Linked DNA regions of Alligator mississippiensis. The protein of the gene in region 2 binds, or shares a complex with, the protein of the main gene of each other region. Links are inferred from orthologs where the notes say so. Each region holds a gene or a part of one and is shown on either strand. Other genes may lie near its edges. The genes, in order: RAMP3, CALCRL, RAMP2 and ADM2.

Region 1 (7,302 bases), on a different chromosome or scaffold from region 2:
TGTATGTGTCTGCTGCAGGATCTAGGCTTCAAAGCATGTATGCATGTGTCCATGTGCATGTTGGCTGCAGGATCTAGGCATACAAATGTGTGTGTGCACGTGTGCCCGTGTGTCCACTGCAGGTTCAGGGCATCAAAGCGGGTTGCCTACTGCAAGCTGGGGCTTTGCACCCTGCTGCCTTGCCCTGTGTGCCTCCTGCCACGAGGGGGCAGGGGGATGAGCCATGCAGCCAGCACACCTCATGTCCCCTGCCTGCTTAACAGGTGGCAATAGTATTGCACAGCTGAGCTCCTGGTGCAAGGCAGCAGAGCCCAGCCTGCAGCAGGCAGCCTGCCTCTGTCCCATAGAGGGCACGTGCCCCATGCCTCCCCAGGGGTGTGCACTGCTGCGGGGGGTCACGCCCCTCTGCCATGCCACTGGATGACCTGGCCTGGCCCCAGGGCCCCATTCACCCATGCCTCGATCTGGCCCCCCCTACCCATTTCCCTCCACTTACCAGCTGGGTATTGTCTGTGTATATGTCAATGTCTCTGCGTGTCTGCTCCTTACTCCCAAGCCACAGCCCACCCAGCCCAGCTGCTGCTTCTCACTCCTAACCCACAGTACCTGGCCTCCTGCCAGGGTGTGTGGGGACCCCCCTCTCCAGACTCCAAACCCCACACACACCCCCACAGTCCCCCGCACCTTCACAAATAACATCCCCCCCCAGACACACACACACTTCAAAAATAGCATTGCATGATTTACATGCCAATCTCATGATTTTTGGCATGGTGGGGTTGGCAATACTGTATCAAAGTGTGCATCTGTGTGTGCTGGAGGACCTAGGCATCCATGTGTGTGTGCCTGTTTCTGCTGCAGGATCTAGGCATCCAAGTGTGTGTACATATGTATATATGTATCCATGTGTGTCTGTCTGCTGCAGGACCTAGGCAAAGTGTGTGTGTGTGTGTGTGTGTGTGTGTGTGTGTGTGTGTGTGTGTGCGCACGCGCGCGTGCTGCCACATCAAAGATGATTATTTTGAACTATATTTCAGGGAAACGTGCAACCTGAGTTTGGACCATTGCAACAAAGGGGTGTGGGAGGGGAAGCCATCTGCTTTGTGCATAAGCATCCACAACAGCCACAATTCGGTTAACACTTTTCTGGATGGTTTGTTTGGTCTGGTCTCAAACTGTGTTTATTTCCCTCTTGCTCTCTGGAACTCACATCAAGCATCTGCTGTGCAATTAGAAGGCGTTTCCCTGCCAGACGCAGCATCAGCATCACCAACACTGGAGGCAAAATATACACATCTGACACTGTACAACTCATTGATAAGGCGTGGGGATGGGGAGAGGGAAGCAGAGCCTGGAGACATCTTCTCTCCTCACAAGACACTATCACAGATCCAGTCCCAGGGTTGCTTTCACCAGGAAGAGATTCCTTCTGCTCTTTGAAAAGTCCTCTCTCAAGATCTAGTATCTTACAGACACGGTTCTTTGGGTAGATGTGATCTCTTTTATTAGACCACCTAGACAGTTGGAAAAAAATGTTCTTTTCAAGCTTTTGGGCACAAACACCCTTCTTCGGGCATAAGGAGGGTCAGTATCTTACAGAGCCTTTCTGCAGTCTCTCTTTTCAAAACAGAGTTCCAGCCACCGAGATCACCAGCGAAGCCTGCTCTGGAACAATTAATATTGCTGCAAAAAAAAATGCCTTTTGCACTGGAAAGACCCCTACTACTCTCCCAAAACACAGCAGGCCTTTCTGATGGGAGACTGTCACTGAACGATCCCGAGGGAGCTTGGGAGTTGGGAAGGAGGTGGTGGAAGTTTTATTAGGGTTTTCCTCCTAGGTTGCAATAAACCCTGCTTGAAAATCACCACTCCGGAAGGGCTCTGCCTCTCCAGCAAGGGGGGGAAAAAATCACCAGCCTAAAATACTGGGGGGGGGGGGGGGGGGAGAAGAAAAAAAATGAGAGGGAGAGAGAAGTTGATCTCTTTCTCCTGCCAAGGGAAACCCAGAAATGCTTGAGCTGCTAGTGAAATAGAACTAAGGCTGATGAGGTTCTTTGGGTAGATATGATACCTTTTATTAGACCAACTAAATAGTTGGAAAAAATGGTCTTTTGCAAGCTTTCTGGCACAAACACCCTTCTTCAGGCATTGGGAGACTGCTGGTGTTTTGGGAGACTAGTATGGGGCTTTTCAGTGCAAAAGGCTGGAACAGGTTTAGTGCTCTCCTGGGTTGAATAGAAGGCAGTATGCAAAATCAAAGTCTGTGAAAATGCAAATGCCTGGCAGTGAGAATCAGAGGGGATGGGAGACAAGAGGTGAGAACCCAGGTAGATGCGGGGGGTTGAGCTGGTGATAAAACGTAGCTGGTAAAATGCAGACAGGTTACCTGGGGGGTATCCGATGGCAGGCAGGTTATAATATACCCTAAATCCAATTCTATGTTTAGCGCTGACTTTTTGTCTCCAGTAGTGAAGTTCATAGGGTGGTTTGTCATTCCCCTTTGAACTAAGGCTGAGAGTTAAATCTCAAACTTTCCCAGCAAATCATTGCTAACTCATTAGCACCCCTGCTTGAAGTGCTGCTCCCCCCGCAGGGGCTGCTGCCCTGCATTTCCCTGCCTCCCCCCCCTTTTTTTTTTTTTTTTTTTGCCGGAGCTGATCCCACCCGGCAGGGATGTACTCACCGCACAGCAGGCAGAGGAAAAGTTGCACTAGCCAGAAAGCAGGCGTCTCCATCCCGACCCCGGAGGCAGCAGGGGAAGCAACCAGGAGCCTCTGGGGGAAAGAGCCCTCATGGGGAGGAGGAGGAAGGGCGGCAGGTCCGCAGCCACTTCGGATCAACCCCGATCTCTCCGGCAAGGCGGCTCCTCCGCATCAGAGCCCGAGCAGCGGCAAGCGCAGGGGTGGGAAGGGTGGATGGGACGTGCGATCTCTCCCCCAGCCCCTCTCCTCCTCCTCCTCCGCTCTGTCCCGAGATGTGATCTGCTCAGCAGCCTCTCGGCACCAGTGAACTCCCAACTCCCATTTCCTATGCTCCCCCCGCCTCCTCCAGCCCGCCTAGATTGGGAGGAGGATGTTGTGGCTCTTCTGGGATCCTCCAAGGCAGCCGATGGGAAGTTAGAGGAGGAGGAGGGCTTGAGCAGGAGAGTGAAGCTGAGGAGGGAGCTGGGGGTGCATGCACTGCTCTCTGTGCCTCTGTGCCTCCCAGGGACATGATGTGCCTGATGCCACACAGGCTCTAGTGGAGCCTCTGTGATTAGGGAGCCTCTGCCTAGTCTGCACTTACCCTCCCTTCCCATCCTTTCCTTTCCAGTGAGATTGGGGCACTCACTGGCGAATAAATCCATTGCCTCCAAGCATCTCCTTCAGCAAGGAAAGGACCAAGGGCAGCAAGATCCAGAGCTCTCAAGGGACTGCCTGCCCCTAAGCAGGGGCAATCTTGGCACAAGCTTCCTCTGCCAAGATATTTTAAAGACTGGGATGATGCAGAGGAGCACCTGGAGTTGCAGACTCATAGAGAAGTAGGACTGGAAAGGACCTCCAGGGGTCTAATCCAGTCTTTCTTAACCCGTGGGTCGCAGGAATATATGAAAAGGCCACAAAAAGCTTTAAAAATGTTTTCTCCTTTAAAGGAGAAAAGTGTGGGAAAATCTCCGGGATATCAAATAGTAACTCTTTTGTGGGGGGTTCATCAGAAAAAAACTAAGAGAATGGCTGTTCACCAGGGCACCCCAAGGGAAGACACAGTCTAATGGTCACAATCTGCTGGAAGATTGTTTTAGAGTGGACATAGGGAAACATTTCTTTACCGAGTCTCCAGAGTCTGGTATAGACTCCCCCCAGAAGTGGTGCAAGCACCTACTCTAGATACCTTTAAGAAACACTTGGATGCTTATGTTGCTGGGGTGATCTGACCCCAGCTGACTTCCTGCCCCTTGGGCAGGGGGCTGGACTTGATGATCTCAGGAGGTCTCTTCCAGCTCTAATGTCTATGACATCTATGATTCTTTTGAAACATGGGTTCCCTTTGCAGGCTGGCAGAATTCCAGTCTGCAAGGGGCTGCTTGGGCCCCCTCCCACCCCACATACTTCCCCCTGCCCCAAACACTGGGGGTCCAGGGTCAGGGTTGGGTCAGGAGTGAGGGGCACAGGCAGGGCCTGGGGGCTGTTTTTTCACTTAAACTATTTAAGTGGGTCAGGCCTGCCCAATGTTTACAAATGGGTCCTAGTTCAAAAAAAGATTATGAGCCACTGATCTAGTCCAAGCCCCTGCTTGAGGCAGGATCATCCCTATCCAAACTCTCCTATACAATCCATAATATAAACTCTATATAAGACTTCTGCCAACACAGCCCTGCCACAAATAAAGAAGGGGTACCATGCAGCCAACATCCTGCTTTTAGGAAATGTTGTCAATATATCCTCAAGAAATCCTAGATAGAACTTGCTGCTTTCACTCCTTGCAGCTGAGTCCCCGGTGTACAGAGCTGAAGTGTGAATATGTATTTGCAAATGAGTGCTGCAACTTGGCAGCAGTGGTGCTCATGAAAGGTATATTCCAAAACAGAATAGCTAGGGCTTTAAGTAAGGGCTTAATGTATTTTAATGATGCCATTTCATCTTAGCATGGCCACGTCCAGAGGGATTTATTTGCTCATTTTCATTAATATTTAAACTTTGTGTATTTTTTTGATCTATAAGTATTGGGAAATTAGCATCCTAGCTAAGAAAGGCCAGGGGGAAGAAGTAAAAAACACTTTCTGGAGACTTACCAAGACAGCCAAAAACAGTTATGCTGGTCAGTTTAATAAACAGCCAGAAAGTATGTCTAGATAAGCAGAAGAACTGCATCTGGAGAATTACATTTAAGTAGTAAAGGAAAACATGGTCACTGATATGGTCAAGATTAATCACAAAAGTACATTCTTTTTTTTATACAACCTAATGCAAATATGTGCACATCTGTGCATAGATTTCCATGAGTTTATGTATGTACACACACATGAGAATGCATTTCCTCTCATACCAAACAATGCCATGAAAACAGTGTTTCTGCACAATTTTCAAAGGCCCAGGCAGCATTTGTGACTCAAACTTAACATTGGCGCACTGCATGTGCATCTGAAAATGAAATGGACTATAAACAAAAAAATAAACTGACCATGCTATTTTATTAACCAAATTGAGAAAAATGGAAAAGAATTCATCTAACCTTTAAATTAAAAGTCCAAGACACTGTAGTACATATCTGCAATTAATTTTTAAAGAAGTTGTGAATAATGAATTTCTTACTTTGCACATGCCATTGATAAAAGGGGAGTCAATGAAATATTTAAGGTTTTAGATAACAAATAGCTAATGGAGATCATGCAGCAATGCTGTAGTTAGCAAGCACCTGTGTTTTGGGAGAAGCAAGAGAATCCAAAAGCCATCCCATTATCATAAGGAAGTTCTGATTAACTAGTCTGTAATAAATGACCATTATATTTCCTACAGTAATAATAATAAGGAACAGGATTGTCATATTTCAAATTTCTCTTACAAATCATATATTTTGCCAGGATTAATATTCCCAAGTGGTAGGATGTATGGTGCTTAATAGTTTAAGGAAATCCAAGTTTCTATGGCAGATGGTACAGAAGTGTTGCTGAAATGTAACAAATATTTCTGATCTAGAACTACAGTTTGTTTGTAAATAATGCAGCAAGTATTTCTGTTCATACATCTTCAGGAGAGAAGATATCCTGCATAACAGTAGTAGCAAATTTATGTGAAATAATTCTTTTTTTAACTCGTAAAATTCAATAGACGTTCCACATTTTCTGTTTACTTCATGGAATGCCAGTGAAATTCCAGTACAGAACAACTGAAATTTATAGGCAAGCACACTAGTTTGGAGATGGTAAAGCTATTTAAAATTCATAAGCCAGCTACTTAAGCTGACATTTTCAGCACACTGAACTAAAATGAATAATTCTTAGATGTCTATGTATTTGGGAACAGCTTGTAAACAGAAATGCTATAAAATTAACACTTTTTTCATAATGTCACTGTAATTATGTATGGGCTTTCCCCTCGTAACACAAACTTCTCTCTCTCAAACCATTAATATTGATAGCGCTAACTAATTTGCTTCTTCAGAAAAGCTGTGAAATTTATATTTGGCAGTTATGAGTAAGAAATGACAACATTTCTCATACAAACGAGGGGGGGTGTGCATGTGTGTGTGAGAGAGTGCAAGAGAGAGCACGCATACACACACACACACACACCCTACCCCCTTCAAATGAAAAATCCTATGATGCCAATTATGCAATTATGTACTTAAAATGTCATACCCCTTATCATCTGAAAAGCCTGATTTGTTGCAACTCCTATAAAGGCTGCCTCCAAAGAAAGCAGCATCATGTCGAGCATTCAGCCTTTGAGGGCACTGGCAGATATGCAGTTTCCCGTTTTAACTATGGTGCTTCACAGAAAGCCCCATGAGTTGTAAACTGACCCTCCCAACCCAACAGACATTTGCTGTTGGATTGGGAGGGTAGGGGTTGAGTTCCACTTTGGAGTTGAACTGGGGAGAGAGGCTGCTTGTCTGCAATGTCTGTCCCCTAACCCCACCCTCCTTTCCAAGCTCCAGTGCTATCCTAGGATAAGGGAGGGTGAGGAGATAAGGCAAGGGAGGGAGATCAATTCTGGGGTTTCCCCAGCCTGGAGTGAAGGGACAGGGGGGACTCCAACCCACCCACCCCACCCTCCAGCTGGCTCACTCCCCCCCCACCCCTCCCCTCCCATTCTGAAAAAAAATTCCCAGAGCAGGGTTGGGTTGTGTCAGCTTAGGCCTGCTCCTGGCCCACGCTGACAGGCATTAATGAAGGTGCTCCACTTTGGAGTGCCCTCATGTAAACCCCGATGAAATGAGGGTTCAGATTGTCATGTGATCTGGCATTTTTTAAAGTGCTCTGCAGCCGTGAACTTCTGTCAGTGCACAGCTGTAGAGTGCTTTCAGTGGCCGACTGTACGACAGATAGTCACATTTGTCAGTGCCCATAGATACTGAAAACAAATTTCTACAAGTGCTACTTTAAATTCTATTAATGACTACCAAATAAAACAGTAGTAATGGCACAGCAGACAGGCAGTAGCTTCAATACCAAAGACCTATGAGGAATGACACAACAATATAGAAGCAGATTGTTGCTAGATAAATATGTTGCTAGATTTTAATTCTATTATAGGCGATGAGTAATTTTATGAACATGAACACCTAAAACGTTTATAACTACGCAAGATATAGTGATGGAAA
Region 2 (7,334 bases):
CTGTTTCATAGCTCACATGCTGTAAAAATATTTTGCAGTTTGCAAATATGTCTGTACAATGCTGCTGGTAAAACATTTCTAAATGTCTCCCTCACCTGTGTAGGGATTGTCAAAATGCTATTGACTGTGATTTATTCAATGGCATTGCTGCAAAGTGAATTCTGATGGTCTGAAATTATGCTTCTCATATCTAACACATTAATGATTAACTAGCTCCAACTGGCTGTAAGAGGGCTCACTGTAAGAGGTCTGAATAAGAGCTAACAGTTAGGTAATCCCATTTAATGAACAGTTAGTTCTATTAAAATTGGTTGAAATCTATGAGACCATTCCTCACAAACTGAAAAGAAATTTATCAGATTATGAGCATTTTCAAACTATACTACATGGCCCTTCAGCAGAGTCGGATATTTTGCAACCCACTTTCAGCTTTGTAAATTAATCTCTAAAATATGTAGTACCATATTAATCAAGCTGGTTAATTAAGAGTTAAAATGGATCTGCTCTTGTAAGATGCAGAGTTCTTCAGAAGTCAATGGGGCTTGCAGGTGATCAGCGTGGCACAGGAAGAGGCTCTCTATGCTGATCCATTTGAACCATTATTTCAGTCTGAGATTTCCTCTTTCTTTGCCAACATGCTTGCAGGGGATTCAAGTTAATGAAAAGTGTGGATAACTTCTAGCTTGTCCACATGTTGGGCTGAACCAAACAAAATCTTTGCCTGGGGGTTTTAAAGTTTTGAGTCCTATGCTCCTAACTCTTTGGAAGACTGTAACTTTGTTTCTCTAATTTGCTATAAGTCTGTCTCCAAAAATAAAAAAAGTAAAGATTATTTGTGATTTATTTTTGATTTTCCCCAGTATAGTGTATAGATAATACAGCTGGACGGTGCATCCAGGATCCCCACATGTAGATGACCCTGAGCATTCTGGTTCAAAAGTAACCAGAAATATAAATGTCCTGTCATTAAACTGTCATTTTGGGGGTTATTTCAACCAGTTTAAAACCAAGAAAGATAACTGAGAGAGAATCTATTGACATGAAATAGTTACTCTAATGTTTCAACCAATGAGGTTTAGGTAGACATCTGTTCCTAAAACTGTATGTCCACTATTGCACATTTTTAAATGACTCAGAAAGCAAATTGAAGTTTGTCATTTTTTTCTGGAAGATCTCTTCTTGTACAATCTAATCAAATATTGCTACATGGTATATACCCACTGCAGGAGTTCTGTGGATGTGTTAAGTATGCCTACACAAATAAGGCTTTGCCCCAAAGTATACAATGGGCACATCTACACATGCATTAATGCACCAGACTTATGGCGCATTAAGTTTAGTACCTGTTATAGCAGGTACTAAACTTAATGTGCCATAATCAGTGCTACTGTGCAGTAGCACTGGCATGCCTTTTATGTGACGCTAATGCATAGTAGACTAATTCTACTGAGCGTTAGTGCATTAGTATGGCTTTTACTGTGACATGCTAATATGCAGTAGAATTAGTCTGCTGTGCTTTTAGCATCTTGTGTAGATGCCTCCATTGTTACATACATAAAGACTCAAGCCTTAAATAATGTCTTATAGAGAAAAGCTTATATATATATTGTGCGGGCCGGGGGTGATCCGGGCCCTTTTTCGAGCCGCGTGGGCTGTGGCCAGCAGCCCGGGCACGCTGGATCGGAGAAAACAGGCGACACGCTAGAATTAGTCACGGACGCTTAGTGGTTGATTCAAGATTGTTTACTTACACCAAAGATGGTCGCGGTGTAGTCTGGACAGTTTCCCAGGCACAGCTCTGATTAAATCCTCGTTTGAGGACTACAACAAGCTCGGGTCTCTCCCACGGAGTTGTTGAGGCTCCGTGGGTCCTTTTGCACACAGGGAGAGGGATACGTCGAGGATTGTGAATGGCGACGGGGAGAGGCTAGAGGCTGTTGCCTGCTTTAAATGCACTGGGTCCGATAGGCTCCGCAGCGCTTAGAGATCTTCACACAACGTGAAGATCCCTCCTTCTGGTGTTCGTGGAGTCCTCCAACTTGGGCGGAAACCACTCAAGCTTTTTATACAGCTAGCAAGCCAATCACTAGCCGCCACGTGTGAATAATTTCACGCAAGCCAATAATGGGGTTCGAATTATCATACAAATGGCGGGAACTCTTTGCAATGAGCATTTCTTAACTGCAAAGAAGAAATGCACACTGCAAAGAAAGCTACAAATTGGCGGGAAAATAATTCAGTGGTGCCAAAGCACACACAAAACAAAAATCACACCCTTGGGCTGTGCCATCCCCCCTTGCTGAAGGCACAACTGAATTATGCTGCACGCTTGTCATTCGAGTGATCCAGAGCTTATCATGAGTCATCAAACAAACAAACAAACAAACAAACAAACATAAAATTCCCCAACATAAAATTCGCTCTCCTGGGATTGAGTTGCACAATAACCAACACAAATACACATAATCAGATTCATAACAAAAATTGCACGATTAGGGCTTCAGTGGGCGTCATGACAAAGTTGTACGTCAGGCCCTCACTTCTTCAGACGATGTCATCCCTCTCAGGGCTTCTCTTCACCATGCATTCTGAATTCTGGATCTGTAAACAAAAACTCTCAAAAAAAAATAGGTTAACGCATCTCAACATATTTACAAAGTTTCCATGGAACTCTACTATAATACAAGTATTCATCACCCTAAACTACCCTCTCTTGTACACTCAACTAGATGAAATTGTCGAGGAGCCGTCATCTAGCTCTTCTAGATAACGGAAACCTAACTCATAGGCCAGTTGCCATTGACCTGTGTCCCCTAAAATCCGAACTTGCCGCTTATTGAGTCCAGAATGCTGTAGGAGAAATCCAAACATGTATCGCTCTTCTGGTGTTCTCTGTGGCAATGATGGAAGATCGGATTCACGATGTCTTGTGCCTTGAATCTCGGTCGGGTGTCAACAGTCCAGATCAATAGGTAATCTTGGCTCCATTAGGATACGCAGTCGTGACAATTGACGAAGGAGATTACACACGGGTTGGTTCACCATTGGGTTAAGCAGAATCCGGAGGACGACGATGTTCTTTCACCCATAAACCTCAAGACAACTATCTAAGCTGTGAATGGTTACTGGAACAGTTCCAGGATCTCGTAGATGACGGTGAGGCCGTGGTCTTATTCGCTGGAGTGATGTCAGTCCCAGCGCGCACGCTCTAGGGTTCCAGGCACAGTACAAGACTCCGATGATTCCTAGCATGAGATGCTCTGCTCCGGTATGTTCTGGCCAACCTTCATGCCATACGTGGGCTTTTTGACCGATCAGTCCTGCAACAAGCGCTGGCAGCGGAATAGGCCAGTGAACGTTGACAGCTATCATGTCGATATCAGTGGCATGTCCTCTACTCCATGAAGCTTGTCTGACTAAGAAGCTTGCTTCTTCCTGGTTCAGCAGGTTGGATCCAAGTTCCATGACTAAACGTCCCAACCATACAGCTAGAGTCTCTTCAGGTTGGATTCTTGATTCTCTGCACAAATCCTGTAATTCAGTTCTGGCGCGAGCATAGTAGGCAGTAGCAACTCGATTAGTCGTTGTTGTAGGCTGAACTGCCGCTGCGGGAGTCACTGTTGCTGTTACTGCTTCAGGCAGGAGGGGCGGATGCACTCCCCCGCTTGACTCTCTCTTTCGTCGGCAGGAAGGCGTGGTCGGCAGAGGCATCGCCGCATCGCTAGGCGGGGTTGCTGGAGACGACGCTGCATCAATGGGCGGAGTTGCTGACCGAACTCTCGCGGGTTCCTCCGAAGCTCCACCCTTCTCTTCTGGTTCTTCCACGCGGTCTCCCTCTTGCTCGGCGCCATCTTGGGCTGGCGTTTCAGGATCCCTTCTCTCAGCCGCTTCTTTGACCGCTTGAACAGCCATACGCAGCTGGGCCTTTAAACTTAAATTCTTGTTCATTAAATCAGCAATTGTACGGAAAGTTGCACTTAATTCTCCCCCCTTGTTGTACCACGGGGCCACCCTCTCATCTGCGGTGCGTTCCTCCGTCTCCAGATCTTCGTGGAGCTCGGATGGAAGCTCGCGACCCCTTAACCTAGACGCCATGAGGGGAGGGAACTGGCCGATTGGCACCGGCTCTTCACTCTCCCAAGCATATCGTAGGCATCGGGCACACTCCCGGGTGAGGGTCGGGTTCACTGCGCCCGCCGGATTGATTCTGGCGAGGGACACAGTATCGAGGGGCCTGAACAAGACCCGCTCGTTGCTCATTATGTACCTGAATGCCGCAGGGAGCAAATACACTTCTCTCTCTCTCAGGGCTCCGTCTTCGGAGGCTCCCTCTTCTCCCTTCAGCGAAAGGCGTCCGCTGACAAATCTCTCACCCGTTCCACCCGCCTGGTGGTAAGTGATATGCAGCTCCAGTTCATCAAAACTTTTCACTTGGCGTTTGTTATCACGCCAAGGGCAGTTCGTAACTAATTCTAGCTCTAGCGTGTTCTCTCCTGATCCCATCCTCGTCGCCATGTGTGGGCCGGGGGTGATCCGGGCCCTTTTTCAAGCCGCGCAAGCTGTGGCCAGCAGCCCGGGCACGCTGGATTGGAGAAAACAGGCGACGTGCTAGAATTAGTCATGGACGCGTAATGGTTGATTCAAGATTGTTTAATTACACCGAAGATGGTCGCGGTGTAGGCTGGACAGTTTCCCAGGCACAGCTCCGATTAAATCCTCGTTTGAGGACTACAACAAGCTCAGGTCTCTCCCACGGAGTTGTTGAGGCTCCGTGGGTCCTTTTGCACACAGGGAGAGGGATACGTCGAGGATTGCGAATGGCGACGGGGAGAGGCTAGAGGCTGATCAGACCTCTGTTGCCTGCTTTAAATGCACTGGGTCCGATAGGCTCCACAGCGCTTAGAGATCTTCACACAATGTGAAGATCCCTCCTTCTGGTGTTCGTGGAGTCCTCCAACTTGGGCGGAAACCACTCAAGCTTTTTATACGGCTAGCAAGCCAATCACTAGCCGCCACGTGTGAATAATTTCACGCAAGCCAATAATGGGGCTTGAATTATCATACAAATGACGGGAACTCTTTGCAACGAGCATTTCTTAGCTACAAAGAAGAAATGCACAGTGCAAAGAAAGCTACAATTTGGCGGGAAAATAATTCAGTGGTGCCAAAGCACACACAAAACAAAAATCGCACCCTTGGGTTGTGACATATATATATATATATATATATATATATGTATTTTGTACTAAGTAGGGTAAAAGGATAGATGTTCAAGTCCGGGGGGGGGGGGGCGTTAAATATAAAGTGTGTTTTTATCTTTTTTGGCTTTAAAATTATTAGTTTCTAGAGTACAACCAGGATTAAATTTATTCTTTTGAGGAAGAGAAAAAAGTAAAAGCAGAAGGAGCTGATGGTGCAGGCAAGATGTCTGTACACAGAGAACTGGGGAGAAAGAAATGGAAGCATCTGTTAAAGCTATATGAGCATGATTTTCTGGCCACATTTAGCCTACAGTTGCCACACAACTTTCTGCAATAGATGCCTCTGCTATCAATGAGGCACACAGTAAAGAGAAAAACAGGCAGTTCATGTGATTTGTAAGTTGTCTGATATTCAGTAAAAATAAGATACAAGTGTGATATTTGATGAACTGAGCTACTGTTGAAATGTCATTACATTATTGCATGGGGGCAGTAATGGGGCAGTCAGTGGAGGGGTGGTAGGGAACAGGCAGTGTGGAGGCAGTGGGGCAGGCAGTGACAGAGGCTGGCAGCTTGCCACTTGCCCCCCCCCACACACTTGTCCCCCATTGTACCTCCCCCCACCCCTGCAGCCTCAGTTTGCCTTGATTCCCCCTTTGCCTGTTCCCCCCTCAAGTCCTTTCCATGCTGCTTCTGTCTTTTGCAGCCTCAGATCCCTGCTCCACCTTCCCCCTGCCTGCCCCTTCCCCTTTGCTCTGCATTACCTTTGCTCTGCATCACCTGGCTCCATCCCTACTGTAGCCTGGGGCATTGAGCATAGCTCCAGCCTGGCCCCATAGCAGCAGCATGGAGCTGGCACCCAGCACTATACATGATCCAGGTTGCAGTGAGGGCAGAACTTGCTGGCACGGAGCAAAGGTAAGGAGAAGTGCAGCAGAGCAGAAGAAATGGAGAAGGGCAGGGGGAGGTGCGTGTGTAGAGGCAGTGGGGACTGGGGGGGGGGACAGAAAGCAGCTGTGGTTGTGGCTGCAGCTCCAGTTCCACCTCCAGCTCCAACCCCAGGTTTGGGCCAGAGCCACCGCAGCTGCTTGCCCTCCTGCTCTCCCACCTCCTCCTCTCCTGCCACCACACACTTCCTCATAATTGACTGTAAGACAAGGGTCTTTTTTCCCATGTTAAATGAGCAGAAAACCCTTTTGTAATAATCAAGTAAATACGGTATTCCATCTCTAATGTGTAAGTCAATAATCAGTGGCTAACTTATTGAATCTCCCTCCAGCATGGAATAGCCCGAAAGGGCTCATGGTGCGAACATATACTATCTTCTGTAAAGCTGCATTTTTACTGGGCTTATTTTTAATATACTGAAGTTAATTTCAACTCCCAAATGATACCTGGTCTCTTTCATTATATGATTGTCAATTACAGCCAACACACAGCTTGATAGCATCAGTATGTTATCCCCATATTATTTTTTTGGGTTGCTAACCAGAATTGGTGATAAATGGAGTTTATTTTCATAGTAAAAATGTTTTTTGATAAACATCAAACCCAGTGTTTTTGTCAGAAACAGTATTTTAGTCAAAAAAATGAATTTCTTAAGTTCTAAAATACCTCTGCAGCACTTCCTAGGAATTGCTTTTTGGGTTCCTCATGCTCCCATTAGCTTCTATATAGTCTTCCTGGTTGGAATTCACTTTCCACAATACATCCAGTCTCTACTTTTGGGGAAAAGTAGTACATCAAGGCAGTCACAAGGTTACAATAGATCTCCAGCTAGAAGGGCCTGGCCGATAGAGGCAGGTACGAGTATGAGGCAACCAATTCTGACTCCCATACACCAATATTGCAGCATTTCAGTGTCAAAATACTAGTTTCTGGTCAACATATATACATGCACAACATGCATGTTTGTTTGTTTCTAAACATTCACTTTTAATTTTTACTAAAAATCAACATTTTTGACAACCTGATACTTTTGTGAGAAAGTATTTGTTTGAAAAATCATATATTATTGAAAAAAAAATATTTTTGATGGGAAATCAAAAAATATTTGATCCTCCTGGCCTTCCAGCCTTACAATCTATGAATCTTATATTATCTTCAGGGCCTCATTGGCTAGGAACTAACATT
Region 3 (7,263 bases), about 49 Mb from region 2:
TGTGGCAGTCCCACCATGGCATACCTTGCTCCCAAGAGCCACTGGGGAGGATGAAAAATCAAAGAATGAAAAACAGGAGTGAAAGGGAGCTCAGCAGGTGATGTAGATCAGTCCCTTGCTCCAGGCAGGACTTGGACTCAAAAGGAGATGTGTTGTAAGGACTTGCTTCATCCATCCCTGCAGTTCTGTCTCTCTGGGCACTGCCCCAAAGCACCCTCTGGCCTGTGATGTTTGGGAGAAGCTGGGGGTAGCTGTAGGCACGGGGCTAGTGACATAGGTGGTATATTTCTTGGGCTTGGTCAACAGTAGTGTAGAGGTCAAGATTTGCAGAACCAGCCTCTGATACTTGGTACCCAGATGGTTCTGGGCAGCCTGATGGCTACAGGGAACCAAATGCTTGTTGCTGTCAGCTCAGCTGGCACAGCGGTGCTCAGGACCCCTCCTGCCCTGGCCCCAGAGTTTCACCCAGCATCCCCACTGCTCCCTGCTACATCCTTCTTTCTGCAACTCTTGGGTGCAGTAAAGGCTATATGCAAATGAAACGGCATGGCATGGCATTGCACGCATGGTGAGTGCATTGGCCATGGAAAGGCACGTAGCACCTGCAGCAGTTGGGAGCACTGGGCAGGGTACCACCCTGCACCAATTCCACAGGGAGATGAATTGGGCATAAGACAGGTAGCTCTAAGGCTAAGCTTGGGAGCAGAAAGGGAAAGAGGAGGGGACAATCGAAGTGAAGTATGTAATTAGGGGAAGAGCTGGGTTGGGAGGTGTTGGGACCCAAAGGCTTCTGGGCCCAGCTTGATAATACTGGCAATTGGCAAGAGACTACTGTCTGTTTGCTGCATGCTTGTTCTTAGCTGCAACCCAGCAGAAATGTGACAGACAGGTCACCCTGACCGTGACCTGTCCCTGCTAAAGGAAAAGAAGACATCTGGAAGGATCCTGGTTGGATGACCAAAAGCTAATCAGGAAGTTGGCTAACTAAACTGAATAAAAATAACTTGGCAAAAGAGGAACAGTCAGAGCAAAATCCTACTGCCACCTAAGAACAAAAAGATTACCTCAGAATTAAAAAAATTCCAGTTAAAGGTAACCATATATGGCAAGCGGAAATCAGCTCGTTAATATGCATTGTAGGGAAGAGTTTATGCTAATATATTAATAGTAATCAGCAGCGATAAGGTATATAAGTACAACCCAGCTTTTCCCCTAATCACATGCTTCACTGTCTTCCTAGGGTAGTGGCTGGACCTGTTCCTCCTACAATGCCATGTCTAAACCTCCCTTGAGATTTCAGGGGAGAGAAGAAACCGGTCTTCATGACCTGGACTGCTATTGGCTGCCAGCACCCACTGTGATGGTGCAGAGCAGATGAGCCTACCTTGCCGGTCTGGCTGGAAAGTGGACCTGGGTTAGGGAAGCTGTCTTCTTGACCTTTCCTTCCTCATGGGGACCTGGTCTATGACACAGCAGAGCTGGGAGGCAGTGGGTTGGGGGCTGTTTGTGGTACACTGCCCAGTGGGGGCTGCTCTATGGCATGGCAAGACTGACAGTCCAGTCCCTGAAATTGCAAGGCTGGGAGGACTGGTTAGTGCCATTCCAGAGATGGCAGGATTGGCTCACTGCTTGGCAGTGCTGGGGGATCCAGTCTGTGGCATGCTGAGGCTTGGGGCTGGTCTGTGGTATGCCAGGGCTAAGGGACATCTGGCTACTTGCTGTTTCTCTACCTACTTTTGCATTTATGAGATCTCACAGGCAGCAGTACTTCCTCTTCCCACCACAGTTTTGCCATGGGAGCAAGTCTGAGGCTCAGTGACAAGTTGCATGCCCCTGGGGAGGGGAAGGTGGGAGGGCAGGCAGACTGGTGGAAGACAGGGGTGCCCACAGTCAAAGTATCGCCAGCACTTTTCTGTCCAGGGCCCAGGCAGGTCATCCTACCATTGATTCAGACAGAGGCTTGCAGGTTTGGGACCTTTCAGTGCGTGTTTTGCCATCCCAAATGTCCCTAATGGTCATGATGATAATAAACAGGGGAAAACGAGGGGAAGCAGGAAGAGGTGCCCAGAGCCAGGCAGCAGCATTTGCATACCTTCCATGATGCAGGCTCAGCTGCAAGGAGAAGCATGATGTTACACATGCTCACATAGAGCTCTCGCAAGCAGCTCCCCTGCACAGACGCACACCAACCCCACGGCCAGGACTCGCACCAGACACGTGTGCTAAACGTGCTTCCCACTGCTCACAAGCACCCTGCCAGCCTAGCCTCCTGCTGGATTCCCATCCCCTTCACACAGGGGGGGACCGAGGCATAGAGACACAGGTCGTCAGAGCCAGAGCCGGTGCTGAAGCCCAGGAGCCCTGTCTCAGAAAGGTAAAAAGGACTCCCCGGAGCCTTCTCCTCTCTGTGGGTTAGTGATTCATTTTTTATATTTGTGTGCTGCCGTCTCCAGAAGAGGCTCAGGAACTGTCCCACTTTTCATTGGGGCTGCTGTCCCTGCCCTTCTCCCTGCTCCCCTGTACAGAGGGGTCACTGAACCTGGTCAGCAGCACGCACTGCCCTGCCATGCAGAGCTCCCCTGGCTGGAGGCTGTCACACAGAGGGAGAGAATATTTGATCTAGAGTCAGTAAAGAGGGCACATTGCTGGAAGGGGAGAAGCCATGCTTGCTCCTGCAAAGTTGCACTTGGGGCTCCCCTACTTTGCAGTCCCACCCCAAAAAGAGGTGAATATAGCCAGGCTTCAGCAGGGGTCACAGCTCAGAGAGGCTGCAGCCAAATCTAACATGTCATATAGCCCAAATCTGTGAACCCTTCCACCCCTTAAAGGCCCCTGGCAGGGAGAAGAGCCAGCCCCAGGCAGCCCCACATCGGGCTGGGCTCAGCCAGAATTGCACTTACCCCAGAGCAGCAGTAGGAGCCCCCGGGAAAGGCAGCCAGAGTCTGTCTCTTTGCATAGTGCCATCCTACAAAGTCTGCCTGCTAATGACCAGGACAAGTATTTCAATGGAAATAACAGGAAGCAACTCCTTTCCTCTGACAGGGGTGGTATCTACTACAGGAGACGTGTGAAAACTGAGATTACTCAGTGCTGCTTTAAAACAGATCTCCCAGTGGGACTCTTGTCAGAACAGTGCAACCACTGGGCCCCCATGCTGCTAGGTGTGTGCTTGGCGCCTATGGGCACCGATCCTCACCACCCAGAGCTGCCCCAGCCTTGGGGTACCTCTGTCACTTTACCCACACATCTGGCCAGTGGCAGGGAGAACTCTGCTCCCTTTACAGCACATAAAACTTTTACAAGGCCCATTATTTGTTTGTGTATTTCACTTTAATCCTGTCTGGGCTGGGTTGTGAAATCACCAGTCTCCTGCATGGAGAGCAGGCAGCCCGGGGGAGTGGATGGGGAAAGTGTAATATCTCAGTTGGGCACTGATATTAGTGAGCTATGCAGTTTGTAGGCTCGGAGGCAGGTTTGGGGAGCTTCAAAACCAACAGCCCTATGTCTGCTGCTACTACCTCAAGACCATCTCTCAGCATTTACCTCTGAACCCAGTCTGAACACCACTGCTCAGGGGGTAATCTTTCCACCCTCTCCAGCCCCCTGGAAAGCAGTGAGGAAGACAGCACTTGTTGCCCCCTCCCCGCCCCCAAAAGTGCCAGGAAGCCTCACACCATCACAAGAAAACCCTGGGGGAATTCGTGTTTACCAAAGTGGGGGAGCCCAGCAGCTGCTCAAGGCAAGAAAAAAGAGCAAGCACCCACCCCATTGCTCTGCTGATTCCCTCCACTCCTGATTCCTGGTCCCTGCTTGCCCAGCCTTGGGCTCCCCAACCTCACAGCTCTGCTGGTGCCCCTCACTCCTGCCCCCAGCCCCTGTTAGCCCAGCCCTGGGCTACCACAAACAGAAATGAATGGCTAGTCCGAATGACACTGCACAGTGTATTTGTTCTGTGATGTGCTCGTAGGGGGAAACATGCTGAGACCAGACACACTCATCTCACTTCTGGCTTGAGGCAGAATTTGAGCCTAATGTTTCCTGTTTAGCAGGCAGTTTGTGGAGCTCACAAACCGTGTGTAAACTGCAGGGCAAAAGGACTGCAGCTAAGAGGAACCCTCCCTGCACTGGAAAGATAATATCACTCTGCGTTTTGTGCTTTCCCTGCAAATGTCCTTGCCTAATGGGCCAATTGTCTCTGGGCTGCGCAGTAGTAGCTTGTTCCAGGACACTGCAAGATCTTCCATGGGAGAGTGGCCGCATCTGGAACACATAATGACCCGCACATGAAACTCCTGGGGTGTGCTCAGGGGTTAGAGCCCCTCGATCCCATTCTTTGTTGTCTGCACACTTGGAGCCGAGCCTCGAGTTCTGCAGATGGTGTTTCCTTGCCAAGGCAACACCCACTGATGTCATCTGGAGTACTGCCGCTTGAACAGGGCCATGCTTGTCACTCATGTGTGACGCTCCCAGCCAGGACTGGCCGTGGAGGAGTCCCTAGTGCACAGATCCAGGCTGGAGCAGTTCCACAAGCCCGACTGCCTCGCTTTGCCAGGCAAACACCATGTTCTTTGCTGATCCCTGAGGAGGAACTCTAGTGGGGCAAAGTGACCAGTGAGTGGCAGGCTGATGACAACGTGATCCCAAAGTGCCAGGATCCTGAGAGGGGAGCCAGGGGTGGAGAGGAGCCCATTCGTATTCTTGCACCCTCCTGGTCATGCCTGTCAGTGCTACCTGACTGATAGGGGCCAGGCTGTGCCTCCAGGCTTGCAGGGAGTCTTCTTTCTCCATCTAGGCTGGAGCCTTTCTGGGCAGGGAGAACCCACACCAGAGTGAACAATAAACACTTCTCCTGGCGCTCAGCCTCCAGCCCCTCCCAGCAAGACCTGGAGAAGTCAGCACAGAACCACAGAGCAAGCCCCAAGGCCCTGGTGCAGAGTGGGAAGGGTCTCACAGTGAGTCAATGGCAGAGCTTTGAATGGATCCCAGGAGTCCTGACCTCCAGCCTCCTGCACTGTAACCTACTGGACCTCATCTCCCCCCTACACTTTCAGGGCTAGGACCCCAGAGTCCTGACTAACCCTTTGCTAGAGAGCCTTTGGGCCCCATTCCCCTCCCACCTACATCTAGTAGTAGAGCCCAGGAGACCTGACCTCCAGTCCAGTCCCACCCCTATTATTTTAAACTTGATCCTGGTGTCTTCCCGATCCCTCCTGTATTCAGCTGGCTCCAGATACACATTAGATCAGGGGACTTTACACAGTGATGGGTGGGCAAGCATTTGCGACCTGTCTGCTGCTGTGGACCACTGCTCCCCCCTAGCATGCCCCTCCACAGTACCCCAGCTGCCTGCTGCTGTCTCTGTCATGAACCCCACCTCCACCACCTGCACTGTATGTTGCTGGTGCCCACTATCCACCAGCAGCAATGGGGAGGAGCAAATTTGGCAGCAACAATAAGCAGTGCCTGCTGTAGGGAGCCAAAGAGACAGCAGGAGGGAGGACTACGCGGGGTGCTACAGGTAGCATCTTGCTGAGGCTTCTGGTGTGCAAACAACTCTCTTGATTATGTACTTAAAGAACTATTGACATTAGAGAGGTAACAGTCTCCCTACTGCCCTTGCAAGGTCTGGGGTCTGCCCTTATTGTGGTCCTGCCACACCAGGAAGTTCCTGCTGGTCCCACCCAGATTATCTCCTAAAATGCCATGCTTCCTGGATCCTTTCTGTTTCCAAGAGGACTTACTCTGTGTTATGTTGAGGAGGCACAGTGCAGAGTGGAGAAGGAGGACGCACTGGGCCAAGCTGAGCTGTGTACTGCCAATCCCCTGTGCCACCATGGGCCCAACTGGACCATCACCGGCTACATCTAGTCCCTTTGTGGGCTGGGATGGCCAGTGAGACATAGGTTGCTGATACTTGTACTAGACCCTATTCCTTGGGTGGGCAAAATATGGCCCATGGACCGGATCCAGCCCATGGAGCAATTTTGTCTGGCCCACAATGGGTTCCTCAGCCCCGCCTGGCCCAGGCACGGGGGGAATCCAGGTTGTGACATGTGCCTGGGTGCAATGCAGGGCTGGGATGGTGCAGCTGCTGGATTCAGCACCGCTGGCCAGGCACCCTGGCCCTTCCACCCTGCACCCACCGACAGGGGGAGGGTGCTTAGCCAGGCAGCTGGGTTGGGGTTGCAGGCTGGTGGGGAGTGGTGTTTGGAAGTGGGATGGGCTGAGGAGACCCTGGGATCTTGGGGCAGTGACAGCATGGGGACCAGGCTGGGGCAGAGCTGCAATCTGTTCTCTGCCCGTGGAACCCACTCTCATCACAGGGGTGTGTGGGCACCAGATCATGGCTCTGCCCTGCCCCATGATCCTGGCCTTGCTTGCCCCTCCCACTCCTGAACACTGCTCCCAGCTTGCCCACAGGTTTTGGTGCAGTTGCTGTATGAGGATGGGGGTGCTAACCTGGCCCACAACACCTCAACAAACTCCCTTTGTGGTCCATGGGCCCAAGTAACTGCCCACCCCTGCCCTATTCCCTGCTAGACCCAACACTCTACCCTATAGCAGGCCTGTGTTCACAGACCTCTGCTCGAAGCACTGGACACTCTTTCCCTTTCTGATTTGTCCTTAAGGCTGTTATGTACAATGTCCTTTGTCTCCTAAGCCTGGAGAAGGGTACAAGGAGCACACAGGGGTGAGGCTGGGTCCCGTTATGGTTCTGGCTCAGCTCTCCTGCTTTTGCGGAGAGTGAGAGCAACTGCGAGGGGGGTCAGACAAATCGACAGAGTGGCCAGAGCGTGGATAGTCCTGACGGGAGGCTCAAGGGGCCCAGAGCTTTCAGCTGCTGTGCAGTTGGGGAAATATTCCATATGGATCTGCAGGAAGAAGGAATCAAGAGTAGGGCTGGGCCATGGGCAGGCCAGGGCCTCAGCCAGCAGCTCCGTGCAGTTGGCAAGATTGCTGTAGGCGCTGAGGAAGGAGAGGAGAGGATGTGAGTCTGTGTGTGGCTCAGAGCAGCTTGAATAGTTGGAGTTGGGTCCCTCTGGCAGCCATTCAAGGGGCGATGAGAAACTCAGAGCCCGGCATGTGATAGTGACAGAAACCAGCCTCTGTCCTGTCACTGTGTGCTGTACTTCCCCCAGGTGCTCTGTGCTGCACACACTAGACAGTGCTGCACCCAGCATGCTGCACACTGTATACATCAGATGGGGATGCACATAGCACACTACCCAACCAAATGGCATGTGCCATACAGCACTGCATGCA
Region 4 (7,494 bases), about 200 Mb from region 2:
ACAATGGGGCTCGTTGTGGCCGCAGCGGTCCCCGAGGGAGGCTCCGCGAGGGCAGGGAACAGCCGGAGCCTTGGGCATCTCCCCCTCACCCCCCCAGCACGTCGGCGCAGCCTTTCTCAGGCAGGGAGAGACTCTGGCGCGGCTCCAGCCGGCCTCTCACTCCCTGCGGGGGCTGGGAGGAGGCAGCTTTGGGGGTGCCCCTCCGCGAAGCCCGGCCCAGCCCAGCTCTCTCAGCCCCACACGGGGCCGGGGGCATCGAGCAGCCGAGCAAGCGCCGGCACAGGCACGGCGTATCCCAGGAGGCTTTGGTGCAAGAGCCGGGACCGAGCATGGAACCGGGAGCCAGGAGCACCTTGCTAAGCTCTACAGGTATCCTGAGGAGCGGGGCTGCCCGAACCCCATGCCCAGCTGTGCAGAGAGGTGCTCCAGCCTCCCCCTAGCCCAGCCCTTGCCGGCACCATCCCCACGCAGGACACAGCCCCCGCCCGGGGAAAAAGCCTGTACGCCGTGGCCGGGCCAGCGCGCCCCTGGCCTGCACTTTCCCAGGGAAAGACGGGTCTGGGCTGCAGGGCCGGGAGGGAGAGACCCGGGTAGCCCAGGAAAGGGAATGGGATTATAGAAAGCAAGGGAGTTGTGGGCACTGCTGCGAGGAAGCTCACAGCGCTGGGGGCAGCGGCAGAGCACCACTGCGAGGAAGCTCACAGCACTGGAGGCAGCAGCAGGGCACCACTGCGAGGAAGCTCACTGCCCGGAGGCCCGGGCGGGTGAGGATCTGGCGCCCTGCCAGGACGGCGCCAGGGTGGAGAGGACCCGAGGAGCCGGCAGCAGAGGGCGGGAGGCCAAGGGCAGCCGCAGCAGCTACCTGCCTCGGCACACGTACATCCTCCGCGGCCCAGAGGGGAGGGAGGTGGCAGAGGCCCTGCCCCAGCTCCTGCCACGTCCTGCCCGGCTGGGGCACGTCGCCAGGGGCCAACACGGCTCCTTGGCTCTGCACCTGGAGGCTCCCCCCTGAGCATGCCTTGCTGGGACGGACCCCTGCTCCCAGAGCCCTCCTCTGCCACCCCCCAATGCCTCCAGCTCCCCACCTGCAAGCCACAACCCCATGCGCCACAGGGAGGCGGCACGTACTACAGGGGGGGCTTCCTCACCAGTGCCCAGCCCCCCAGGCACAACTGTACTGGGAGAGCCCACCCCACATAGCTAGGCCCCAAGGCCAATGCCAGAAGCCTGCAAATACCCCATGCCCTGCTCCCACCCCCCGGGGTTAACCAAGGGGGTTGCACCCAGCTGGCCCCGGCTTTGCAAGCAGGCATGGGCACGGGATCCCCCAGCACGGCCACGACCCTGCATGACCCCCCGGACACGGGAACCCTGTGGTCTCGGGGCTCTACTGACAGCCACCCTAACGCCCCACATCTGCAGGGCAGGGCCCAGCCGCGGCTCCGTGAACCCTCGTTACGCCCGGGCAGCGACCTGCCACCTCCTGCCCCCTCCGCGCTCCACTGCACGCACACTTGGGGTCACTGCTCTCGAGGCATCTCCCAGTGCACCAGTTTGGGGGGCGTTCACAGCTCCACCCTGCCCCACATGGCAGCCCTGCCTCCGCCGTGCCCATCTCCACCTCCCTCAGTGCCCAGGCTGGGTGCACACACCCATGTACTCATGCCTGTGCATCCTCTCCCCGCACCCATCCCCCACGCACCCCATAGTGCATCCACACTTGCACGCAACCTGCAAGAGCACACCCCCATGCATTCACACTTGCATGCACACGCGTGCCTGCCTATCCATATGTGCAGCTGGGCACCTGTCTCCCATCTATCTACACCTTCACACGCATGTGCGCAGGCACACGGATGGATGCCTGCGTGTACACCCCTCCGACAGGAATGGCAGCACACACCTGCCTACACGTGCATGTGAAAACACGCATCTCCGCCTGCACACACAGCAAAATGCGCAGCCGCCCACAGGGGCTAGCACATACGAGCCCGGTGCCCACGTGCCGGCTGGGCTCACGTATGCACCTCTACACGCCCGCTGAGTGCACGTACACACCTTGCCTCCGGCTGCAGCCCACCCCTGCCCTGTGCTGCCTTCAGCACCGGGTGCCTCCTGCCAGACTCAGGGCCCCGGGGCTGGGTGCTGCCTCCCTCCCTCTCCATCCAAGAGATGTTGGGGGGACGAGGGCACCCAGGAAACCCTGCTTCGCCGTGTCCCCCTGGGAGATGCTGCCCCATCCCAGGAGAGCGCGGCCAGCCTGGGGATGGGAAGGAATTCCCTCAGTCCTGCCTGGGGACAGACAGACGGACGTACGGATGAACGGACAGATAGATGGATGGACAGCTTGGCCCCAGCCAGCCCCCCACACTTGTCCCGGCCTCTCCCCGGCGCCTGGGAAGTGACAGCTGGCAGCACAGATGCTCCCTGGAGGGTCAAGACCTGGAGGTGAGGGAACACCATGCCCTGCCCACTGGCTTGGGGCCTGAAGAGCCCCTCTGCCGGGGTTCCCCGTCCCTCCCCTGCCCACGGCTCGTCCCCCGGGAGCCGTGACACCCGGGCCAGGGAGAAAGCCGGGCACTTGCCCGTGACTGAGCACGTCGCACGGAGCCCTGCAGCCCTGCGCGCTGGGACCCGGAGCCCCCCGACCCAGAACAGGATCCGACCCCGCATCCAGAGCCCGGCCACCAGCCCTCTTCCGAGAGCCCCGGGCATCCCAGCCTCTCCCTAGCTTCACGGCGGGGCTCTGCCGGACTCTGCCTGGCCACGGGGCTGCGGCTCCCCCGTCCCCGGAGACACCCAGCCGGCTCCTGCCCGGGCGCGAGCACACCCTTGCACGCGGGGCAGGGGCTCGCGCCTTGCTCCGGCGGCACTCACCTGCGGCGGGGCAGGGACAGCGGCAGGGGCAGCGGCAGCGCGGGCAGCAGCAGGCAGAGCAGCAGGCTGACGCGGGGCAGCGCGGGCGGCGGCGGGCACCGCATGGCTGCGCGGGATGGATGGACGGGCGGACGGACGGGCGGGCGGGCGGGCGCTCCGCGTTAAGTAGCGGCCGCGGGAGGAGCCCTGGGCCGGGCCGCGCCGCCGCTCCGCCCCGGGCACCTGCCGCCCGTCCGTGTGTCCGCCCCGCTGCACCGCGGCCCGGCGCCAGGCGAGGGCGGCTCCGCTCCGCTCCGCTCCGCTCGGCCCGCGGGCCGGACGGCCCCCCGGAGCGCGCAGGTCGAGGCTCGCCGCGGGGCAGACCCCCGGGACACGCGTCGGCCGCTTCGGGGGTCCCCGCGGGTCCTGGTCCGCGAGGCCCCCCGCTCCCATGCAGAGGGGCCAGGCCCCGCGTGCTCCGCATCACTCATATTCCTCCCCCCAAGGCTCCAGTCGCCCGCCTTGCCCCACGCGGGGGGATTTGCTGCGCACCTGCGGGGGGACCCCAGCGTTGTTGTCATCGCTCAGCTCCGAAGCAGCGCCGCGGGCTCGGTCCCCCGGCTCCGCGGTCACTCTCGTCCCCCCCGGCTGGGATTCCTGTGGGCTGCGGGAACCTCCCGGCACTTTGTGGCCGCATTATCCCAGGAAATGGGGCTGGGAAAACAGCTGCTATGAACCGGGGATGGGAGATGGCTGGAGAACGGGCCCGGAGTCATGATCTTGGCAGCACGGGCAGCAATGACCTGGGAGCGATCCCTGTCCCACGCTGTCGGGCAGGTGGGGAGCAGGGGCTGGGGATCCCATGTGACGGAGGGGTCTCCAGGAGCTCTTCCCCCTGCTCCAGGCTCTGCTCTAACCACTAAACCACCCTGTCCCCCTTCCAGGCCTCTGGGAGCACCTGCCCCCATCGCTGCCACCGGCACTCAGCCCTGTGATGCTGGTACATCCTGCTTTCCATGGGGCAAGAGGGTTTGGCGGCCTCCCTGGCTCCCCGGGCCCGGCGTCCCACAGGGCCACAGGGGTGGAAAGTTCCTGGGCAGTGTGCCGGGAACATGGTGGAAGTTTCCAGAGGCCGGGGAAACCTGGGGGCAAATTCTCCAGGCCGGAAAGTCTGCTGTCAGCACCCCCTCCGGCCGAGCCGGAAACGCTGAGCTGAGCCCCGAGTCACTCGCCGCGCGGTGGAAGCTCTGATTCCCCTGTTGAGTCGGCCGAGGTTTTCCAGCCAGCCTCACGTCCCTGGCATTGCTCACGGCCCCCTCCCACCTGCCCCTCGTCTCCCTCCTGACCCCCAGGACCGTCTCTCCCTGCCTCCGGCCTCTCTCTCCTGAAATATCTGATCCAGGCCAGCGCTCAGCTTGCTGGTCTCCACCCTGGGCTCATCTCACTGTTACAGCTGGAAAGGCTCCAGGGTCTTTGAAACCTTGGCTCGGAGACCACGGAGCCTAGGCCGTATCCCACGGGGCAACCCGGCCATAGCCCCTGAGTCTCCTGCCAGCACCCGCAGCCTCACCTTTCAGCAGGAAAGGACTCGAAGGTGCCAGCGCTCAGAGACCCCTCTTACTGCTCGGCTCTGCCCAGAGAGAGCATCCCTGGAAGAGGTAGGTGGCTGCAACCCGAGAGCAGGGGGCTCACCAGCCTCGCGGGACAGGGAAGAACGTGGTCCAGGGCCCGGGAGTGAAGCCCGACAAGCCCCAAGGTAAAACAGAGCAGCGATGCAGGATCCCAGTGTTACCTAGGGGGATTTTCCACCACCGGTAATTTTAACCCCTGGCCCAAACAGGGATGCTCAAGTGCCTCCAGACAGCTCCGCAGCCGGCGGGAGGGTTGCAGCCACTCCTCTCAGCCTTATAATCCATGATGTGAGATTCATTCCCTAACAACCCCGTGTGGCCCCGTGCCCCGTCTCCGACAGAAGCTCGAACCCGCGGCCTCAGAGCGGAGTGGTCCTGGCTGATGGATGTTTTCCCTTGCGCTGGGTGGGTGAGGGCACACCGGGCTGCTCCTGGATGCGGAGACTGCTCCATGCCACGTGCCGCTTCGCCACCCACCCAGGGCCCCTCTGCACCAAGGTCCAGCTCCTTTGTGAACCGGCCAGGTCTGTCTTTCCTCTCCCCCTTCCCTGGATTATTCCCAAGCCCCGAGAGGTTCTTGTCACTTGTCCCGAACCCCTCCAACCTTTGCAAAAGGAGGTGGCCAGACCTGGCAGCCACCCTACTGGGGTACTGCCCATCACGAGAGCACCAGCTTGATGGTCCGGCTTGATGGGGGCAGCTGAGCCTCCGGCGTGATGAAAGCTGGGATGCTGGGTGCCTTCGGAGGCCATGCCTGCTCACAAGGGGTCCCGCTGACCTGGGGCCAGGCAGGATTGTCCCTCCAGACCAGGCCAACCCTGACCATGGGGGCTTTGTGCCTCTACAGCAGGGGGCACGGGCCCCTCTGGGCTGAGCTGACCCCACCACACCCCACCCACGGCAGGGGGGAGGTACCGGTGCTGCCCTGAGGAGAGAGCAGGCACGACTGCAAGGAGCGTTGCTTTATGCAGGACATCACATCTCCCACTGCCGGTGTCCGCGCCATGATGCCGGCTCCTACACTGGGGGCTCCGCCGTGGAGCAGGGTCCTGGGGAGATGGTGTCACCTCTCTCCCCAGCCTGGTCTAGGTGGGACACAGGGTGCCGCCTGGCTCAGAGGTTTTGCCCCCACTTCTGCCCTTGCCAGCAATGCAGCTTTCCCTTGTCTCAGGAGTTTTTAACCCTCCCCCAGGGATGCTGGTGCTGCTGCAGCCCAGGCTGGGGCTGGGGCTGGGCTGTGCCGATGCTCCTGCTGCACCCACCCCGCAGGGTCCTGGCTGGAGGGTCTTGCCCCTGCGCTCAGGCTCAGCCCCACGCTGCACTGGGGCAGGAAGGGATTTCCCCCTTGCTCAGACTGGTTGCACTGGGGGGGGGTTGCCTTCCTCTGCAGTGGGGGCACAGCCTGGGCCTGGGCTCAGTGTAGTGTCCATGACCCCCTGGCAGCAGCAGGATGTTAGCGGCCGCGGCCCCCCTGTACCCCCGGGGTGGGGGCGGGGGCGATGCCTGGGGCTGTGTCAGTGACTCCGAGTTCGGACATGGGGCTGATCCTGCCTTGGGCTGGATGGGACCCCACAGCTCCCTGCCAGCCCCCCGGCTCCAGGGGTCTATGACTCTAGGACCCCTCTTCAGGATGCTCCTCGCCCCCGACGGCCGGCCTGTGCGGTCCAAGCTCTCCACGTTGCTCCCTGCCAAGGCTCCGCCTGCTCTTTCCACCCTGGCCCGAGGAGGGATGACTGCATCGCACGTCTCTCGCGTCCAGCTCCGCCAGGTTTTCCCCTTGGTCTGTGTCCTGGAACCGCACCCCTCCCCTCACGCCCCACACGTCCTCCCCACGGGCTCGGTCAGACCTCAGCTCCCACCTGCGGCTGAGTCACCCCAGGCAGGCAGGCAGGGTCACTACTGCCCAGGCACAAGGACGATTGCAGCAGCTTCTCCAAACCCGGTGTGAGCGCCGTCCAGGTTGTCCCAGTCCTGCTGGCCCCTGGGAGCTGCCAACTCGGACGCCAGACCTGTAGCTCTCGACCAGGTGCCGCAGCCCCCCTGGGGCCCTGTGGGACCCTCGTAAGGGTGTGGTGGGTGTGTGGGATGAGCACTGCCAAGTGTGCAAATGCCTGCATGTGATTCAGTAGGTAAACCCAGAAAGAGGACTCTGGGGTGCTATAAACTCCCTGCCTTGCTGTGGCCTCGCTGAACTCGGTGTCCCCGGGAATGGATCTAGTAGTTTTACATCATTAAGAAATGAGTGACCTCGGCGGGAGGGCGCGTTTGGATGGGGCCTGAAGTCTAACGAGGGGGGAGGGAGTCTAACAAGGCTGAGAGAGTGGCAGCATCCTCTGTGCTAGCTGCCCCCACTCCTTTCTGCTCCATGTGTCGGGGGGTTGAATCCTCCCCCCGAGGCGCTGGTGCTGGGTGCAGCCCATGCTGGGGATGGCCCCCCCACCCCGCCCTGCAACGTGGGGTTGCAGCGGCTTCTCCTCTGTGGATTAGCTGGATTTTTCCAAGCTGAGACTCGCGCTGCGATTTCCTGTTCACGTTCCTAATTCTTTGGTTCCCGGCCGGCGTCGGGGGACCTGCACAGCTCTTTGCTGACTCACGCTCGCAGCCAGGCCAGGCCTCCGGCTCCCGTTCTGGGAGCGCAAGAGGCGGCTGGAAGAGACGCTAGAGCGGTGATTCTCAACCAGGGGATGCTGCATTAGCCCTTTGAGGTGTGCAGACGCGATTCACGGGATGATCCCAGAGATTTCCAGCATCCAGTGTTGAAAGCATCCCTACTGCTTGAGGAGTTTTTTGTAACGTAAGATTTATTCTAGCATTTCAGCTAAGATACAAACCTACCTTGGTGCTTGTGGGAAGACCGAGGGTAACCCCTAGCAAGGAGAGCGGGGGTTTTGTATGTGTGAGAGACAGAGAAAGAGATAGGGAGGAGCAGTGCAAGGACCGCTCCAGCCGCCACCGCGCATCCCCCATCTGGACAGGTGCCTGCAGCTCCTCCTATACGAGGCCTTGT

Evidence for each region.
Region 1: the proteins of CALCRL (region 2) and RAMP3 are in contact, whole or in part, in a cryo-EM structure (PDB 6UVA), measured with the Homo sapiens proteins. The link is inferred for Alligator mississippiensis from reciprocal best matches to the Homo sapiens genes CALCRL and RAMP3. Residues at the interface, in NP_001258680.1 of Homo sapiens: Arg38, Asn39, Met42, Thr43, Gln45, Tyr46, Glu47, Tyr49, Gln50, Met53, Trp69, Asp70, Ser117, Arg119, Thr120, Phe228, Leu231, Ile235, His238, Thr239, Val243, Val245, Lys249, Gln250, His251, Trp254, Tyr255, Phe257, Leu258, Phe262; in NP_005847.1 of Homo sapiens: Trp56, Cys57, Leu59, Phe62, Ile63, Tyr66, Glu67, Thr70, Cys82, Tyr83, Pro85, Asn86, Pro87, Leu88, Gln90, Ile93, Thr94, His97, Arg98, Cys104, Thr105, Val106, Asp107, Arg108, His110, Leu111, Glu112, Asp113, Pro114, Val118.
Region 3: the proteins of CALCRL (region 2) and RAMP2 are in contact, whole or in part, in a crystal structure (PDB 3AQF), measured with the Homo sapiens proteins. The link is inferred for Alligator mississippiensis from reciprocal best matches to the Homo sapiens genes CALCRL and RAMP2. Residues at the interface, in NP_001258680.1 of Homo sapiens: Arg38, Asn39, Ile41, Met42, Thr43, Gln45, Tyr46, Glu47, Tyr49, Gln50, Lys51, Ile52, Met53, Gln54, Trp69, Asp70, Gly71, Arg119; in NP_005845.2 of Homo sapiens: Trp86, Ile89, Tyr93, Ser94, Arg97, Leu109, Gly110, Pro112, Glu117, Ile120, Phe121, His124, Gln125, Phe128, Ala129, Cys131, Ser132, Leu133, Val134.
Region 4: the proteins of CALCRL (region 2) and ADM2 are in contact, whole or in part, in a cryo-EM structure (PDB 6UVA), measured with the Homo sapiens proteins. The link is inferred for Alligator mississippiensis from reciprocal best matches to the Homo sapiens genes CALCRL and ADM2. Residues at the interface, in NP_001258680.1 of Homo sapiens: Val36, Thr37, Lys40, Asp70, Gly71, Trp72, Asp90, Tyr91, Phe92, Gln93, Asp94, Phe95, Asp96, Pro97, Ser98, His114, Ala116, Ser117, Thr120, Trp121, Thr122, Tyr124, Thr125, Asn128, Thr131, Lys134, Val135, Ala138, Leu139, Leu141; in NP_001240774.1 of Homo sapiens: Leu106, Arg107, Val108, Gly109, Cys110, Val111, Leu112, Gly113, Thr114, Cys115, Gln116, Val117, Gln118, Asn119, Leu120, Ser121, His122, Arg123, Leu124, Trp125, Gln126, Leu127, Met128, Gly129, Pro130, Ala131, Gly132, Arg133, Gln134, Asp135.

What each region holds. Positions count from the first base shown.
Region 1 is NC_081828.1:117,398,063-117,405,364, forward strand, and holds the start of RAMP3 (receptor activity-modifying protein 3), read right to left. Parts: upstream 3,007-7,302; 5' UTR 2,736-3,006; coding exon 2,684-2,735; intron 1-2,683. UniProt on the Homo sapiens protein: Accessory protein that interacts with and modulates the function of G-protein coupled receptors including calcitonin gene-related peptide type 1 receptor (CALCRL), calcitonin receptor (CALCR) and G-protein coupled estrogen receptor 1 (GPER1).
Region 2 is NC_081827.1:200,841,326-200,848,659, forward strand, and holds the start of CALCRL (calcitonin gene-related peptide type 1 receptor), read left to right. Parts: upstream 1-4,328; 5' UTR 4,329-4,392; intron 4,393-7,334. UniProt on the Homo sapiens protein: G protein-coupled receptor which specificity is determined by its interaction with receptor-activity-modifying proteins (RAMPs). Together with RAMP1, form the receptor complex for calcitonin-gene-related peptides CALCA/CGRP1 and CALCB/CGRP2.
Region 3 is NC_081827.1:152,179,041-152,186,303, reverse strand, and holds the start of RAMP2 (receptor activity-modifying protein 2), read right to left. Parts: upstream 3,010-7,263; 5' UTR 2,965-3,009; coding exon 2,901-2,964; intron 42-2,900; coding exon 1-41. UniProt on the Homo sapiens protein: Accessory protein that interacts with and modulates the function of G-protein coupled receptors including calcitonin gene-related peptide type 1 receptor (CALCRL) and calcitonin receptor (CALCR). Required for the transport of CALCRL to the plasma membrane.
Region 4 is NC_081827.1:1,946,113-1,953,606, forward strand, and holds the start of ADM2 (protein ADM2), read right to left. Parts: upstream 3,002-7,494; 5' UTR 2,982-3,001; coding exon 2,878-2,981; intron 1-2,877. UniProt on the Homo sapiens protein: Intermedin/ADM2 is a peptide hormone that plays a role as physiological regulator of gastrointestinal and cardiovascular bioactivities mediated by the CALCRL-RAMPs receptor complexes.